Linked DNA regions of Mus musculus. The main gene of each other region encodes a partner of the protein of the gene in region 3 in a complex. Links are inferred from orthologs where the notes say so. Each region holds a gene or a part of one and is shown on either strand. Other genes may lie near its edges. The genes, in order: Ucn, Gna11 and Crhr2.

The links.
Region 1: the proteins of Crhr2 (region 3) and Ucn are in contact, whole or in part, in a cryo-EM structure (PDB 7TS0), measured with the Homo sapiens proteins. The link is inferred for Mus musculus from reciprocal best matches to the Homo sapiens genes CRHR2 and UCN. Residues at the interface, in NP_001874.2 of Homo sapiens: Phe68, Asn69, Gly70, Val71, Tyr73, Ile101, Leu102, Asp103, Asp104, Arg107, Asp110, Tyr113, Leu117, Asn120, Trp166, Leu169, Gln170, Val172, Asp173, His174, His177, Glu178, Thr188, Phe191, Asn192, Phe199, Phe256, Gly257, Lys258, Asp265; in NP_003344.1 of Homo sapiens: Asn84, Pro85, Ser86, Leu87, Ser88, Ile89, Asp90, Leu91, Thr92, Phe93, His94, Leu95, Leu96, Arg97, Thr98, Leu99, Leu100, Leu102, Arg104, Thr105, Ser107, Gln108, Arg111, Ala112, Asn115, Phe119.
Region 2: the proteins of Crhr2 (region 3) and Gna11 are in contact, whole or in part, in a cryo-EM structure (PDB 7TRY), measured with the Homo sapiens proteins. The link is inferred for Mus musculus from reciprocal best matches to the Homo sapiens genes CRHR2 and GNA11. Residues at the interface, in NP_001874.2 of Homo sapiens: Arg148, Tyr208, Leu209, Ala212, Ile213, Thr216, Glu220, Lys293, Lys307, Ala311, Phe358, Tyr359, Phe362, Asn363; in NP_002058.2 of Homo sapiens: Arg37, Ile348, Leu349, Asn352, Leu353, Glu355, Tyr356, Asn357, Leu358.

Annotation. Positions count from the first base shown.
Region 1 is NC_000071.6:31,137,400-31,140,168, forward strand, and holds Ucn (urocortin preproprotein), read right to left. Parts: upstream 1,497-2,769; 5' UTR 1,398-1,496; intron 1,135-1,397; 5' UTR 1,122-1,134; coding exon 753-1,121; 3' UTR 590-752; downstream 1-589. Other genes in the region: Trim54 (tripartite motif-containing protein 54), read left to right, coding at 78-94. UniProt on the Homo sapiens protein: Acts in vitro to stimulate the secretion of adrenocorticotropic hormone (ACTH). Binds with high affinity to CRF receptor types 1, 2-alpha, and 2-beta. Plays a role in the establishment of normal hearing thresholds.
Region 2 is NC_000076.6:81,531,620-81,535,239, forward strand, and holds part of Gna11 (guanine nucleotide-binding protein subunit alpha-11), read right to left. Parts: coding exon 3,461-3,620; intron 1,788-3,460; coding exon 1,633-1,787; intron 906-1,632; coding exon 777-905; intron 1-776. UniProt on the Homo sapiens protein: Guanine nucleotide-binding proteins (G proteins) function as transducers downstream of G protein-coupled receptors (GPCRs) in numerous signaling cascades.
Region 3 is NC_000072.6:55,092,265-55,095,149, forward strand, and holds part of Crhr2 (corticotropin-releasing factor receptor 2 isoform 1 precursor), read right to left. Parts: intron 1,101-2,885; coding exon 1,015-1,100; intron 824-1,014; coding exon 688-823; intron 291-687; coding exon 249-290; intron 1-248. UniProt on the Homo sapiens protein: G-protein coupled receptor for CRH (corticotropin-releasing factor), UCN (urocortin), UCN2 and UCN3. Has high affinity for UCN.

The DNA.
Region 1 (2,769 bases), on a different chromosome or scaffold from region 3:
GAGAGCGAGCTGTCGGGAGTGCCTTGTTCGTTTGGAGCACCCGCTCACCGGGCGGTTAATTCCCCCCCCCCCCCCAGGCTCAGGCCTGCACTGACCCGACTCTGATCCAGAGCGCACACCCGAAGCGGGAGCCAAGGGATGCTGAGGATCTGCGCAGAGACCACCGCGCCACCAAGCTCGGCTTCCCGCCCCCGGGAAGGTTCTCAATAAAGGACTCAAGTGTCCCACGTCCTCGGCTCCTTTTGCTGTCCACTCCTAGGCTCAGCTATAGAAGCAACCTCGCCATCGCTCTACCCTTTCTCAACCCCAGACCATCTGAAGGGGCGGAGGCGAAATAGTCCCTCGTGGCCATTCCCTTTACACTAGAGGTTGCCTCCTAAGCCGGAGACCCTGAAAGGGTATCAGACCTCCGAGTTCCGGGATCTGGCGGGTTGGGGGAAGGGCTCCCAGGAATTTAATAGGCTTCCTCTCCCATCTCATTTAGCATGCTTGTCTCTCCTACCGGCCTGGAGAGCTCCACTTTCCCAAAAGTTCTTACCCTAACTGTAGTTGCCGGTGCCCTCTCACCACTATGACAGAAGATAGAGGCTAAGCTCTTGGGCAGTTTTATTAAAAAATAACCACTCAGAGTATTCAGGGTGACTCTGGGCGGCGCTGCACCGCGGGACTGAGACAGCTCCGGTTGTGCGCGTTCCAGCCCCGGGGTAGGTAAGGGAAAGGGTCAAGGCTTTCGTGACCCCATACGGGGCCGATCACTTGCCCACCGAATCGAATATGATGCGGTTCTGCTCTGCGCGCTCGCGCTGGCTCTGTGTCCGAGCTAGCTCCAGCAGGGTCCGCAGCAGGTGGAAGGTGAGGTCGATGGACAGTGGAGGGTCGTCCCGTCGCTGCCGCTCGCCCGCAGGCTCAGATCCTGCGCGGCGCGGGAAGCGCTCCGCTAACAGCAAGAGGAGCGCGCGGACGCCGCCGCCCTGATTCCGCACTCCAGGGCTCCATCGCAGATTCGGATCCTGGACCCCAGTTGCCGCCGCAGCCGCTGGGCTCCACTGGCTGCTCTCCGGGCGAAGCTGTGCCAAGAGCAGCAACGCCACCAGGAGCGTAGCGCGTCCCCTCTGTATCATGGTGCCGCCTGCCCTGGACACACAGGGGCAGCATAGGGTGAGGTGCACTTGGAGCAGCCGCAGGTAACACGAGCCCCTTGGCGCGCACGCCCAGTGCCCCTGCCGAGACCCTCCAGCTGTTGCCTGGTGTCCACATCCTGCCCACCAGCCCTAGGCGCTGTGCCAGTCCAGTTCCACCCCTCTCTCCCTCCTTCCCTCCCGGCAGGTCACAGTGGGTGGGCTGAGTGCAGAGTCTTGGTGGTAAGGGAGTCTGGATCGTTGCTTCAAGCCACTCACAGGTTATCGGAGTGTCTGCCCAGTGCAAGATGGAGCTCCACTCTGTCCCCGGGGACGGGCTGAAGACGCCTTGGGGAGCACGGGGTCTGTCCCGGGACCGCCGCCAGCCTTATATAGCACCAGGACAGCTCCGACTGACGTCAGCGAAGAACATGAACTGATTGTAGAAACAATGACACCGGCAGCTTTGAGTCCAGCAGCTTCGAGCCCCCAGAGGGGTGCGTATCCTGACTTTGTGTCCCTGGAGCTATCTTTGGAAGCACCCTGGCTGTAGAGGGAGAAGCTGGCAGAGCCATAAAGATAGATCTTCCGGATGCAGAGTCCTTCCCCGACACAGAACCACCAATGTCTCCAGAGCAGGAATAGTCAGGGGTTGTTTCTCTTCTCAAGTAGAGAGGGAGGACTGTGGAGCTGTCCGTGGTTCCGAACTTCTTCACAGCCACAATCTGGACAGAAGTTCTGGGGAGAAGCCTGGGCTGCTTAGACACGGTCCCTAGGCCGGCTACTGGGTCCTCAAATTGAGATCAGAAATGCTCTGCTGGCAGGGGCTCAGACAACACAGTCCCACCCAAAGGCTCTCCAATACAGTGGGTCTGACCCATTCTACTGACCATTGTACAGCAGTACAAACTAAAATCTACAGGTGTCAGAATGGCATAAAAGGGTGTTTGGCTTTCAGAACTTAACGTACCTCCTGAGTTTGGCAAAGTCAGCTTTTTCCTAGGAAACACAGAAACAGTACTATTATACCTTTTTACCTTCTAGGTCAGGAGCTGGGGTGGTGCTGGTGCACTCCTTTAATCATAGCACCCAGGAGACAGAGGCAGGCAGATCTCTGAGTTTGAGGCCAGACTGGTCTACTGAGCTGGTTCCAAGACTACACAAAGAAACCCAGTTTTGAACACACACACACACACACACACACACACACACACACACACACACACACACAAACACACACACGAAAACGAAGAAATCACTAGGTAGAAGTGAGAAAACTTTGGCCCAAGTTCCTCCTCTGCCACCAGCTTGTGTAGTCAGGTCCCTCACTTCTGAAACCATTGGCGTCTGTCTTTGTAAATGAACAGCCTCTGCTTCTTTCCAGTTACAGACAGGTCTGTGCTCTTCTGAAGGGTCTTATTCATAGCCACTGCAGATCCCAGATAATAATGTATCTATTTCTGTGCCTATAAAGTCCCTGACAGGGTCTCGAAAGGCACTAGGACCTAGAAAAGTTAAGCGTGATAGCCACTCTAGTCTAGGGATGTTGCTTAGTTGTTAGAGCACGTGACTAGCATCCACAATGCTGAGTTCAAGTCTCAACTCTAGACAGGAAGTTGTATCTATACAGAGTGGGGACGTGTGCTAGCTA
Region 2 (3,620 bases), on a different chromosome or scaffold from region 3:
CTGAATCACCTTTCTATAGCTCAGAGCCACACAGCAGCTGCCCAACTGGCCACACATTGCCAAGACTTGAGGTCATAGGCCATGTGGTCCCTAACTATGTCCCATGGGCCTCAGCCCTCACTGGAGTAGCTGTGGCAGCCAAGGAGGAACCTTGGCTGGGAGGTTTGGGGTAGGGACACTCTCCTGGGGAGATGCAGCCTCAGTGCCGAGGGAGCACAAGCCTGAGAGGCCACCCAGGGGAGTGAGTAGAAGGGAGTGATGGACGTGGTATGCTCACACGCATGGCCCACCAGGGAAAGGTTTTAAATAGGAACATGTCTCTGCCCTGGGGTCAGCATCATGGTGCCACTGGGAGTCTCACAAAACACCTTTAATCCCAGCACTTGGGAGGCAGAGGCAGGCGGATTTCTGAGTTTGAGGCCAGCCTGGTCTACAAAGTGAGTTCCAGGACAGCCAGGGCTACACAGAGAAACCCTGTCTCGAAAAACCAAAAAAAAAAAAAAAAAAAGAGGGAGCAGAAAGGGCACAACATGCCTGCAGGCCCAGGCCCCGTGACCTCCCGAGTCTGTGGATGTGGGTTCTGAATGGGAGCAAAGCACATCCATCCCCATGGCACCCCGTGCATCTCCAGGGTTTCTCTTGTGCTCTTCAGGTTCACAGGGGTCCCAGGAAGGGGTCTAAACCTCAGGATCCCCGCTGCTGCCTTCCAGTCCCGGCCAAGCCTGCGCATCTCTCCCCATCAGCTCCCTACGGTCTTACAGCATGCTGACCATCACCTGAAGATGATGTTCTCCAGGTCAAACGGGTACTCGATGATGCCAGTGGTGGGCACGCGTACCCGCAGCACATCCTGCTGGGTGGGCAGGTAGCCTACTGTGGCGATGCGGTCCACGTCCGTCAAGTAGCTACAACGTAGAGGTATCTGCTCAGGAGCCCACTGGGGCCATTGGACACCTGGGACATGGCACAGAACCCACAACCACCCACAGACAGACGGGAACCTGGCACTGGAGGGCTGGGACCTGTGTATTGGCTCTGGTGAGAGCACACTATCTCCATTGATCTAGAGTCACAGTTGTTCCAAATAGATGGCAGGAAGGGATTCAAGGCCTCTGGAAAGCTGGAGAGTGGGGCCCACTACAGCCAGGGCCACAGCATAGGAGGCAGACACTTCAGCAGGCTCAACTCAGGGTCACTGACCCAGGTGCCTTGCTGAGTCCTGAGTGCCCTGTCAGCTGGGATTCTCTGCAACACCTTCTCAACCACAGACTCCTCTAAGCTGTGACTTTCTCCTAGATGTCCTCAGGTCTCTGCTGCCCTGGTTGACCCTCCGGGCAGGCTAGGACTGGGCTCTTCTCCCAGCCAGGCATGGAACAGATGAGAAGCCTGAGTCCGGCCCCTGCTCTCTAAGCCTCATCTTGTTCTCTCTGAGGCCAGCATGTAGGCAATGAGTGGTCAGACCAGCCCTGCCCTGTGTGGACACACGATCTGGGCAGGAGAGTAGAGTGCTGCCCTGATTGGGCGGCCAGCCTGTGGGTAGTGAGTCTGTGGATAGGCTCTTGGGCCTAGGTCATGCCCACTCTGACCCCATCCACGTCTCTAGTGTTAGCCATGCATGCCAGCCCCACTCACTACTTAGCCGAGTCAGATAGCTGGAACTCCCGCCTGCGATCGTAACACTCCTGGACACCAGGGTCACTCCACAGCGTCTTGATGGCATTCACATACTGGTGCTCAAAAGTTGTGACCTTCTCCACATCGACCTCCCGGATCAGGAGTGCATTGGCCTGAGGGAGGAAGGGACTGTGAACTCCTGTGGGGGGACCCTGGGCAAGCAAGGAGCCTGCAGAGCCAGTAGGGCAGTGAGGGGAGCCAAGGCCTCTAGAAAGCGACAAGGCTACAAGGCCCACCGCCCACCACCCATGCTCCCTGACCACTCTGTGTGGGTGGGTATGAGGGCTGGGACAGATAATCTGCATTCCCCTTGATCTTGTGTAGCCCAGGCTGACCTTGAACTCACCCTGCAACCTCTATGTCCATACACTGGGATTTACTAGTGCTGGGGAGGGAACCCAGGGCTTCATACAGGCCAGGCAAGTGCTCTACCCACAAGAACCCAGCCCACCCTGGAACCTGATCCTTGGAAGCCCAGAAAGGGGAGTTGCTGCACAGGGCACACATAAGCTGAGGCTGCCTCCCGCTCTTGAAAGCACCAGGAGGTGGCCCTTCCACATCCCCAGGTCAGAGGAGCCAGTGAACCACACACCACCACTAACCAGCCCCCAAGAGCCTGACCGTGGATCCCTCCTCTTTAGTCTTCCCAAGGTAGCCTCTGTTCTGGGCTACTAGTAGATGTGGCTCCCAGCCTGATAAGGTTGATGACTCTACACGGCTCACATGGCACCCACCATGTACTGGGCTGCCTGGGCCTTGCTGAACCCTGGAGGGGCAGCTTCCACACATCTGCCTGTCCTTAAGTGGGAAGAACCCCACCTGTGACAGTGACTACCCTGGCCCTCATATAAGGAAGTAAGTTGGCAGAACCAGCCCCATCAGCCTGTTTGTGGAATGGGCAGAAGGCTGCTTCCAGCTGATGTGCCTGCAAAGCTTCCACAGTCCCCACCTGCCTCCCTGCACCAACAAGATGTGAGGCTCAAATGGGCCCAGAATCATCAACAACTGTCAGGAGGCTGCAGAGACACCAGGGCAGGGCAAGCGAGAGTCAAGGTGTTCCCTTCTATCCATATCCAGGACCACAGGACTCCAACTTGACACAAGGACTCCTCTACAGGGCCCCATGATCTAATGCAAAGTTCTTAAGGCAATACCTGGCCCTTGGGAGACAGAGGCAGAGGGATGGCAAGACTGGATCTTGAAGACCCTGAGCAAGAAGCTACTGAGCAAGAAGACCCTGTTTCTAAAGCAGAAGGGTTGGGGAATTGGCTCAGCGTAAGTTCAGGCCTAAGAGTCCAAGACCCTGAGCCTCATCATCCATCCATCCATCCATTCATACACACATACAGATGAACACACAGCCTGGTGGGGAAGGATCAAGAAAAACTGGGCGAGGAGAAATAATAAGTTGGAAATAATATGAAATTCTCAAAAAAAAAAGTTATTTCAAAATACTACTTAAACAACAGCAACAACAGTGAAGCTCAGTGGGCAGGAGTCTCCAGGAGGTCAGGTGATACTGACAACCCACAGCCAGCAGCCCTCCCCTACCTGTGCTCCTATTTCCTAGGTCCCGCCCTCATGGGAGGTCCCTTTCACAGACCCGGCCCTCAGAGGCAGGTCCCACCCACAGACCCCACAGACCCCTCAGAGGCAGGTCCCACCCACAGACCCCGCCCTTGAGGGCAGGTCCTTCCCACAGACCTGCCTCAAGGGCAGATACCTTCCACAGACCCCGCCTCGGGGGCAGGTACCTCCCACAGACTCCGCCTGGGCTGGCCCTCACCTTGTTCTGCTCATACTTGTAGAGGATCTTGAGCGTCTCCATGGCGCGCACCATGGCCTGCATGGCGGTAAAGATGTTCTGGTACACCAACTTGGTGAAGCCGCGCTTGTCCTCCTCCGAGTAGCCGGCCCCGTGGATGATGCGCATCTGCTTGATGAAG
Region 3 (2,885 bases):
GGGCACACATTGAGCACAGGCATGTTACTCCTGGCTTGTGTAGTTGACCTAAGCTGGCTCTGCAGGAGAAGTCCTATTCCCCTAAAGCTAAGTGGTTTCTTAGCCCCATCTCCTCAACTCCATAGATGGAGTTGAGAAGAGCCAGCGACGAAGCTCTTCTGAAAGACTGGGCAGCTTGGCTGGACCACCTGGGAGCACAGTCTAAGAGACCTGAGCCCCTAGACCACCCCAAAGGCCCTGTCTCCTACCTCTCCATTGAAGAAGCAGTAGAAAACGGACACAAAGAAACCCTAGAAAGGAAGGAAGGCGATGTGAGGCATCTGCTGAGGGGTCATTCCAGCCAGCAGTGTGGGAGGACATGGGATGGCTGGGTGGAGCTCAGAAGTCCTGGGCTTAGACGAGGCATACAGTTACCCCAGGGTCTGCTCTAAGCTGGGTGTGACCTCTTGCCTCAACATCCCGAGCTTGTCCTAGGTGTTCTGAGAAGTGCTAAGACAGTTAAGTCCCAGGATGGGGGTTACAATCAGGGCACCCTGGTCAGCATCTGGGGCCAAGTGGGGGTTCTGGATGTGCAAGCGCTTGCGTTTTGGTGCTCATATAACCCATCCTAGCGTGCCGGCTCAGTGTTAGCATCCGGGCCTGGGAGGTGTGCTGCCCCGGGGTGGGGGTGGGGGTGGGGGTGTCTACCTGGAAGGACTGCAGGAAAGAGTTGAAGTAGATGAACACAATCTGGGACAGGTCGTCCTCGCCAGGATTGACAAAGAAGAGCATGTAGGTGATGCCCAACAGGGGGAGGAGGACCAGCGTGGCCTTCACTGCCTTCCTGGATGGGGAAGCGAGAGGGTGAGAACAAGCCTGAGCTTGCCTATAGGATAGGATTCACTCGGGGAGGAGGGATGCGGTGCTATGCTTTGCTCAAGCAACTCTAGGGGCGAGGACCCCAAGGGCTCTGGTGATTGGACCCCCTTGCTTCTTCCATACCCGCCAGGTCAAGGTGTCCAGGCATTTCCGTACCTGTATTGGATTGTCTCGGACGTGGTGGATGCTCGTAACTTCGTCATCAGGATCCTGACGATGTTAAACAGAAATACAAAATTGATCTGGAAGAAAGCAGAGAGGGACACGGGAAGGGTGTGCGATGAGAGTGGGCTGAGAAAAAGAACCTCTGGCACCTGCAGAAGCTCCAGCACCGGGCACCTGCTTTGGTCACCCAACTTCTGCTCCTACCCAGCAGGGCAGGAAGGCACCCATTGACTCCAGGGCCTGCCTGCCCTCCACCCATGGTCCAGGCAGCTTATAAAGAAGATGGGTGGGGAATGTGACTACTCCTCTGGAGTCACTCCTGAGAACCCCACCCCCTGCTTTACTCCAAGACAATACAGAACCACGCCCCAGATCTCTGATCTACTTCTCTTGGTCACAGGGTTCCTACTTATTGGTGTAGGATCTCAGAGACTCTCAAACTGTCACCAGCTCTAGGATGGTTGGTCAAAGGTCCTTTCAGCCCTACCCTGGGGGGAGGGGGACATAGGCCAGATGGAGTGATTAGTCTCTACTACTCCTTCTCCTAGGTGCTCCAAAGCCTTCAGACACCCACGGGCGAGGAAGATAAATGGGCTGCCCAGTTGCGCTGGGAAAGGAACAATTAATCTTCATTTGGTGTTTTCCCTTAACATCAAAGACACTCCCACCTCTGACTGCTATGGGTCTGTTGGCTCCTGAGTCAGCTGCCTGCCACATGGGTCTCTGGCTCCCCCGCATCTCTTGCTCTCTGAGGGGGATCTCAAGAGTCAGTCAGTTGAGCAGCTGGTCCCTGGGGCTGTGCTGTCCCTCTGTGTATGCTGCCCTGTATGACTGTCCATATGTGCTTGTCTCAGAGTGGGTCTTGTGCGACCATGCGTATGTGTCTATCAGGGAACACCGTGTGCCTGCATTTCTCTTTAGGTATTGCTAAGTGCAGGCAAATGGGAATGGAATGTGTACATGCCTGTTGGGACTCTTTCCCCAGAAAGCGTTCACAGCCTGGGCGACACATAATTAGCCTAGAGATGTCTGCTGACCTATCTGTGTGGAGACACACACATGCTCCCCAGTCTCTGTCTAGAAAAATCCATTGCTTCTACAGATCGAGCCAGCCCTTCTAATTCTCTCACTCTATAGATTCAGGGAAGGGAATAAAGGACATCATTATATATCAGCCTTGTAGCCAACTGTCCCCAAACTGGGCAGTAGAGGAGCTGGAGACCTCAGGCTCCCATCTCCCTACACCTTACTTCTCTCTCACATTCATTTATAGACTATGGCCCAGTGAGCCCACAGACAGCCGGGAGGAAGTAAGAGGCTGCTCATGGCCTGCTGCCTGCTGCCTCTCAAGGTTCACCTAGCCTAAGGTAACACAAAGTTCTTTTTCTTTTCCCAAGTCTTTCTGATGTCTCTGAGAAATAAAAAGATACTCAAATTTCTTGGATTGAACATCATTCAACTCACTAACTGGTTCGTTCAATTATCTATCCCAATATTTCATCTCTCCATTAACCTACCAAATAGTCGTCCATCTATCCAACCACCCTCCCACCAAACACTTCATTCCATTTTCCACCCATTGTTTTTGCCCATCCATCCATCCATCCTCCCATTAACCCACCCATGTACCCAGCAATCACTGGCCACCTCTTGGCCACAGGGTCCTATTCTATGTTGAGAGGTAGCAGGAAAGGCGGCTGATATGGAGTGTCTAGAAGACCCTGTTCTACCTTTTCACTAACAGGCAGCCCTCACTTGGTTTTGTCTCCCTGGAAGCTACCCTTTCTTTTTGAGCTCATTTCCCAGCCCCCCCCCCTTTATAGTATCTATATCAGCTCCATCCCAGATAACTTCCTCTCTCT